2 linked regions of the Lonchura striata genome follow. The protein of the gene in region 1 binds, or shares a complex with, the protein of each later gene. Links are inferred from orthologs where the notes say so. Each region holds a gene or a part of one and is shown in the gene's direction. Other genes may lie near its edges.

The links. Proteins that work in one complex are often made in the same cells at the same time.
Region 2: ITPR1 (region 1) and CNN1 share a complex: the UniProt entries of both Homo sapiens proteins name them as parts of the cGMP kinase signaling complex. The link is inferred for Lonchura striata from reciprocal best matches to the Homo sapiens genes ITPR1 and CNN1.

The regions. Positions count from the first base shown.
Region 1 is NC_134614.1:22,879,600-22,883,341, forward strand, and holds the start of ITPR1 (inositol 1,4,5-trisphosphate-gated calcium channel ITPR1), read left to right. Parts: upstream 1-1,283; 5' UTR 1,284-1,504; coding exon 1,505-1,530; intron 1,531-3,742. UniProt on the Homo sapiens protein: Inositol 1,4,5-trisphosphate-gated calcium channel that, upon inositol 1,4,5-trisphosphate binding, mediates calcium release from the endoplasmic reticulum (ER).
Region 2 is NC_134623.1:1,330,525-1,334,266, reverse strand, and holds the start of CNN1 (calponin-1), read left to right. Parts: upstream 1-1,506; 5' UTR 1,507-1,552; coding exon 1,553-1,587; intron 1,588-1,969; coding exon 1,970-2,036; intron 2,037-2,125; coding exon 2,126-2,263; intron 2,264-2,847; coding exon 2,848-2,958; intron 2,959-3,039; coding exon 3,040-3,186; intron 3,187-3,742. UniProt on the Homo sapiens protein: Thin filament-associated protein that is implicated in the regulation and modulation of smooth muscle contraction. It is capable of binding to actin, calmodulin and tropomyosin. The interaction of calponin with actin inhibits the actomyosin Mg-ATPase activity.

The DNA.
Region 1 (3,742 bases):
GAAAAAGATGAAATAGAAACTACAGGAACTGTAATTCAAGTGAGGAAAGCTGCAACATTCAGCTGTGGATTCCAAACTCAGAGGAGTTTCATTTTCATGCTTGTGGTTTTGGTTCTCAAAACTTGGATCAGAACTTCCTAGCAGCGTTCTATGGAGAATAAAATGTCAGTTGATATTCAAGTTAACCCTGTGGAGAGAAAATGGGTTGGAAATGTGCGTGGAAGTCTGTGGTACTTGGGGATTTGTTGCTTGTGGCAATGTGATTGCATCCTCATGTGCCAGAACTCCAACATGAAGAGTGCTGCAGGAAGCTGAGTGTTCCTAGCTCACTGATGATATTCCCTGGAAGTGTCCAGGGCCACACTGGGCAGGGTTTGGAGTAACCTGGTCTAGTGGAAGGGAGTGGAACAACATGATCTTTCAGGTCCTTTTCAAGCCAAACCAGTCTGTGCTCAAAGGAGGGGGAGTAGCTCTGAGAAATGGAAATTCCAGATGTTTCTGGGTTAAGATATTAGGTAATGCCTCTGCTTCTGGACTAATGTGATGCTGAGCTCTAAGGGAAGAGGCTTGGTTGGTTGAAGCCAGTGTCACAATGGACACAGGCAGTTCATCCTCTGCTCGTCTGGTGCTTGATCTTCTGTGGTCAGAGGATGATAATCTCTGAGCATGCAAATGGAAGACATTTCTGATCATAGGAGGCCAAAAATGGCTGCTGCTCAAAGGCTATACTTTGTTTTTTATTTTATGCGATTGTTTAGTAGCAGTTTTGCGTGAAACTTGTATAAACATTTCTTTTGTCCCTTGGCCCACCTGTCCACCTCTTCAAAAATTCAGAAATCTGCCAAGAAGTTGTGAAGAAGGAAGCTTTGTTTGCAGTCCAGCTCTGTCCCATCTGCCTCCCACTCCAAGGAGAAACACATGGCCACAGATGCAGGCTCAACCTCAGCTGGCTGATGGCGCTTGATCCGAAGGGTTAATTGGGAACTTCTGATTAAAATAATTAAATAACTCTGCAGTCCTTGGCCGCTCCTCTCTTAAGCGTTCAGCAGATTCGGATGCTAATGCTCGTGGGTGGTTCAGTATTTTGAACCTTTGCCTTCTGGAAAATTACAGTTGGGAGGCCAACAGGTACAAGGCAGCCTGGGAACTGGAGCCTTCATCTGTAACGCAGCCTGGCCCATCGGGGCTTTGGAGCTCAAAGTAGGTCCCTTGGCCACCAGTGGCTCTCCACACGTGCTCATCATGTGCTGGCAGTGGCTCCTCCTCTTGGGCTGGTTGTCCCGGGCGCTGAGGTTTTATCCAGAGCCGGGAGCCAGCGGAGGTGTCCGGGAGGGACGCGCGGCGCACGGGAGGGTCCTGCCTCGCCTCGGGGACAGCGCAGCCCTCGGAGCCTGCAGGGGCTGCCCAGCGGGACACCGGCCTTGGCTTCCCTGCCAGAGGGGACCCAGCCCTGCCGGGGGACGCCCTGCCCAGCCCAGCCCTGGAGACCGACAGAGAGCCCGCCATGGAGGAGAGGGAGCCCCCGCCGAGGTGCGCTGCTGCCCGGGGATGGGGATGGGGACAGGGAATGAGCAGCTGCAGGGGATGGAAGCTGCTCCATCGAGGCACAAGTGAGGAAACCGCTGGGTTCAGTGAGTGTTGAGTTTGCTGTGGGGTGCAGGAACCAGCCCCTGCTGCGCTGAGCCCTCAGCAGATAGCTGGCCACACCAAGTGACATTGGGACTGTTCCGTGCCCTCTTCTTCCCTGGCCATCCTTGTTCCTTGGCCAAGCTCCAGCTGGTGTAATAAACCAAGCTTGCTCTCTTTCCCCATGACTTTGGTTGTCCTGGTCCTTGTGGCGTGTTCCAGCTCTCTCCTGATTGAAATATGCTGGAAAACATTGTGTGCTCATCGGGGCCTCGTCCAGAGGCTGACATCCAGGCTGCCTCCTCCCAGCAGGGCTGGAGCCAGCAAGGATGGACTTCAGGAAGTATCAGCTTCAGCAAGTGCTCCTTGCTTTTAACAGGATTAGGAAGATGCTGTCAGGTCATACTTAGTTTGGAACAAAAAAATGTTCTTTTTCCCCTGACAGTGTGTCTCTAATAGAGTTTCTTTTTCCAGCTGTCTGCAGATGCCTGTCAGTAGGACCTGTCAGTCATGTTTCTTACCTCAGTCAGTGGCTGCTGTGTAAGGGATTGCTGTCAGAGTGAAACTTCCATGCTTTTGACTTGAATTTTCTGTATCTAGCTTGTTCGGTTGCACTGGGCAAATAATTAAAAAAAAAAAAAAAGCAAATGCCCTTTCTAAGGAGAAAAGAACATTGTGCACATTTGCTTTCCTGTACTGAGGTTTTATTGAGGTTAAAGTTACCAAAATGAGTTGCTTTATCTGTTTTCTTAACTGCTGTTGCACCTATGAAATAGTCACTTCAGAATAACTCTGTCACTGATGTGATAAAAATCTATTTATCTGTGGAGTGGCAAATAGTATGAATAGAACGTCATTAACTCGGCCCTCATCTTGCTGTGTGAATTTACACTTCTCTCCCTACTTATTTTTAGAGGAAGGGGAAGCGTGTGCTTGATTAGATGTGCAGTGAGTGATCTCCCCCCTGGGAGTGGAGGGGAGTGTGAGCTGCTGGATGGGGATTTGGGAGACCTGGATTCAGATCTGGGCCCCGACTCTGACCTGCTGCGTGTCCTTGAGAAAGTCACAGTGCTCTGCTGCTCCCTCCTTCCCCTTTTCCCCAGCCTCCATCTTGCCTGTTCAGCCTGGAAATTGGAAGAAAAAAAATCTGCATTTTAAGCGTCAGGAGGAAAAATACTTGGTCTGCGAAAGTGCATTTCTCCTCCTTAATCTAACGGTTCATCAGCCACCCATGTGTGGCAGACAGCAGCCTCCTGGACATGAAAGGTTGCAGCTGAAGGGAAAACAAGATCCTGTGGTAGATAAATGCACTGCACTGATAGTTTATTTTTTAAAGGGTAATCTCTGAAATGGAGCCCCATGTGCATAGCTGAACCCTCCCAGCGCTGTCCCTTAGCAGCAGGTGAGAGGATCCTGGTGTTCAGCACATGGCCTGCCCCACACATCCCAAAATCTCTTCATTTTCCTTTCCCTGGCGAGTGCAAAGAGCTCCTTTCAGATTTGCTAAGCAGAGGCTTTGCAGATGACAGAGCTCTGTCCTCAGCCCCAGCACGGTGATTATTCACCGGGTGAGCTTTTAAATAAAGCACTTCCTCCCCTCTTCAGCTGTTCTAATGGGATTCTTAGGAATCTTTCCTGGCGTCCTCGGGGAGGAAACCTTCTTTTTTTTACTGAATGAGAAACATCAGGTTTGGGTTCAGATTTTCAAGGTGGCTGCACCTGTGAAAATACAGAATGCTCTGTGGGTGTTATCCAAAAAAAACCACATAAAGTCTTGATTAGTCTGTAGGGCCAAATTTTCAGCCAAGTAATCTGGTAAAATTTGGATTTACCAGATTATCTAAGCACTGGATTTTCAGGATAATACAGTGTTTGGTTGCATTTTAAAAATGTTAATTTGCTTGGCCCGATTTATCAGTATTAATGACCCAATTCAATTTAATTCAAACACAGACTTACCTGGTCTTGGGGGTTCTCAGATCTGTTAATTTCTGTTAATTTCTGTTAATTTCTGTTAATCTGTTAATTTCTGTTAATTTCTGTTAATTTCTGTTAATTTCTGTTAATTTCTGTTAATTTCTGTTAATTTCTGTATGATTCTGCTTATGCCATTAAG
Region 2 (3,742 bases), on another chromosome or scaffold:
CCGGGGGTGCGGCTGGGCTGCCCGGGGAGCTCCGCACTCCCCGTTCCCTCCGGGAAGCGGGAGGTGACCGGCACCGGGTGCCCGGCGGGGGTGAGGGAGGGGAGGGGAGGGGGCGACACCGGGGCTCCCCGCCGTGAGCACCGGGGGGTCCCGCCGTGAGCACCGGGGGGTCCTGCCGGGCACCGGGCCGTTCAGGGTTAACCGGGAGCGGGGGGGGGGGTTGGTCTCCGCAGCCCCCGGTCCCCTCGGCGGGCGGGAGGTGACGGGCACCGGGTGCGCCCCGGGACGGGGGACGGGGACGGCGGCACCGGGGAGCACCGGGGGCTCCCGCCGGTGTGCGGCCCGTTAAGGGTTAACCCGGAGTGGGCTCGGCGGACCGGGGGAGCCCCGCCGACCGCCGAGCCCGCGGCGGGCGGGAGGTGACGGTCACCGAGCTGAAGCGGCGGCGACACCGGAACCCCCACCGGGACTGAGGAGGCCACGGGGCGACACCGGAACGGAGCGGGCGGACCCCGGGACGCCCCCCACGAGCACCGGGTGGCGTCCCGCCGGTGTCCGCCCCGTTAAGGGTTAACGGGGGCGGTTCGGGTGGCCCGGGGGGGCCCCGCGGCGGGCGGGAGATACCGGACACGGCGGGGGGATGGACACGGCGGGGGGGGGGTCCCGCCGCGCACCGGCCCGTTAAGGGTTAACGGGGGGGGATCGGCGGCCCGGGGGGGGCCCGGCGGCCCCCGGCCCCGCCGTGAGCCCTTATAAGGCGGCGGAGCGCGGCGGGCGGGCGGCGGCGGCCCCGGGCCGGGGCTATATATGGGCAAAGGTTCGGCCGGCCCGGTCGCCCGCGGCTCCCGGGGGGGCCGGGCGGGGCGGGGGGGGGTCCGGGCTCCCCCGGCCCTCCCGGCTCCCTCCGGCCCCGCGGGAACGGGGGAACCGGGGCCAGCGGGGATCCCGCGTCCCCAGTGCGGCCGCCGCCTCTTCCCTGAGGGTGTCCCCGCCTTGGGGTGTCCCCAGTGTCCCCTCCTTGGGGTGTCTCCAACGTCACATCCTTGGGGTGTCCCCACTGTCACCTCCTTAGGGTGTCCCCTCCTTGGGGTGTCCCCATTGTCCCTCCTTGGGGTGTCCCCACGTTCCCCGTCTGTGTCCCCGTGCCGGTGTCCCCGTGTCCCCCGCGGTGTCCCCGCACCCTCCGTGGCCTCGGCGCAATGTCCCCCGTGTCCCCTCGTCCCCGTGAGGGTGTCCCCGACATTCTCCGTGCCACCACGTCCCCCTGGCGGAGTCCCCCTGTCCCCCCGACGGTGTCCCCGTGTCCCGTGTCCCCTGTCCCCGTGTCCCCTGTCCCCATGTCCCGTGTCCCCGTGTCCCCATGTCCCGTGTCCCCCCGGCGGTGTCCCCATGTCCCGTGTCCCGTGTCCCCATGTCCCGTGTCCCCCCGGCGATGTCCCCATGTCCCGTGTCCCTGTCCCCGCAGCTGGCCCAGAAGTACGACCCGCAGCACGAGCGGGAGCTCCGTGCCTGGATCGAGGGGACCACGGGGCGCCGGATCGGGGACAACTTCATGGACGGGCTCAAGGACGGCGTCATCCTCTGCGAGTACGACCCCGTGCGACCCCCGGGACCCCGTGCGACCCCCGGGACCCCCACCGGGACCCCGTTCAACCCCCGGGACCCCGCTGGAACCCCCGGGACCCCGTGCGACCCCCGGGACCCCGCTGGGACCCCGGCTGTGTCCCCGGCTCTGTCCCCGCGGGCTGGGACCGGCCCCGGTCCGGAGGGTGAATTTTAACCCATTCCTCACCCGGGCTGACCCCGAGCCTGCTGAGCACAGCCCCCCAACCCCGCCGTGCCTGTCCCCCACACCCCGCTCCTGGCCGGGCTCTGGGGTCACCCAGGGGTCACCCAGGGGTCACCCAGGGGTCACCCCGGGGTCACTCTGGGGTCACCCCCTGACCCCACCCGTGCTCGGCCCCTCCAGGCTCATCAACAAACTGCAGCCGGGCTCGGTGCCCAAGGTGAACGAACCCGTCCAGAACTGGCACAAGGTGAGGGGACCCCCCAAAACCGGGGCTGGGGGCGGCTCTGGGGGGGAGGATCTGACCCCGAACCCCGCCCCGACTCCCCCCGCCCGCAGCTGGAGAACATCGGGAACTTCCTGAGGGCCATCACGCGCTACGGGGTGAAGCCCCACGACATCTTTGAGGCCAACGACCTCTTCGAGAACACCAACCACACCCAGGTCCAGTCCACGCTCATCGCCCTCGCCAGCCAGGTCAGCTCCCGGGGGTCCTGGGGGGGGCCGGGGGTCCGGGGGGCTCCTGGGGGTCCTCGTGTCCCCTCAGAGGACACCGGCCACACGCTGGGGGGGATCCAGAGCGGGGATTTGGGGTCTGGAGAGGAGATTTGGGGTCTGGGGAGGGGGTTTGGGGTCCAAGGAGGGGATTTGGGTCCAGGGAGGGTATTTGGGGTCTGAGAAGGGGATTTGGGGTCTAGAGAGGGGATTTGGGGTCCAAGGAGGGGATTTGGAGTCTGAGGGAAGAATCTGGGGTCCAGGGAGGGTATTTGCAGCCTGGGGAGGGGATTTGGGGTCCAGAAAGGGGATTTGGGGTCCAAGGAGGGGATTTGGGGTCTGGGGAAGGTGTTTGGGGTCCAGAGAGGGGATTTGGGGTCCAAGGAGGGGATTTGGAGTCTGGGGGAAGAATCTGGGGTCCAGGGAGGGGATTTGGGGTGTAGGGAAGGAATTTGGGGTCTGGGGAAGGAATTTGGAGTCCAAGGAGGGGATTTGGGGTCCGGGGAGTGGATTTGGGGTCCGGGGGTCCCCGTGAGGCCCCCCCCCAAGCCCACGGTCTCCGCCAGGCCAAGACAAAGGGGAACAAGGTGGGGCTGGGGGTGAAATACGCCGAGAAGCAGCAGCGGCGCTTCCACCCCGAGAAGCTGCGCGAGGGCAGGAACATCATCGGGCTGCAGGTGACACCCGGGGACGCTGGGGGGACACGGGGGGGGCGTGCTGGGGACAGCTGGTGACACCGTGGCCGTCGCTGTCCCCAGATGGGCACCAACAAGTTCGCCAGCCAGCAGGGCATGACGGCGTACGGGACACGGCGGCACCTGTACGACCCCAAACTGGGCACGGACCAGCCCCTGGACCAGGCCACCATCAGCCTCCAGATGGGCACCAACAAAGGCGCCAGCCAGGTGGGGACACGGGGACACTGCCAGCATGGGGGGACACGGGGACACTGCCACTCCATGGGGACACTGCCAGCATGGGGGACACGGGGACATGGGGACACTGCCACTCCACAGGGACACTGCCAGCATGGGGGGACATGGGGACATGGGGACACTGCCAGCACAGGGGACACTGCCACTCCATGGGGACACTGCCAGCACGGGGGACACGGGGACACTACCACTCCACGGGGACAGTGCCATCCTACAGGGACATTGCCACCATGGGGGGACACTGCCACCCCATGGGGACACTGCCACCCTACAGGGACATTGCCACCATGGGGGGACACTGCCACCGCATGGGGACACAGGGAGAGATGGCACCAGGGGACTTGGATGTCCCGGGTTAGGGGGACAAAGGGAGCGGAGAGCCCGCGGGCAGCGGGGACAGACAGAGCCGGGGACCCTGAGGTGCCACCGGCCCGGCCGGTGGCCCAGGCAGCCCCGGGGACAGCGGAGCAGGGGACAAAGGGGCTCTGAGGGGGGCACAGAGGGACTCTGGGGACAGGGAGGGGAC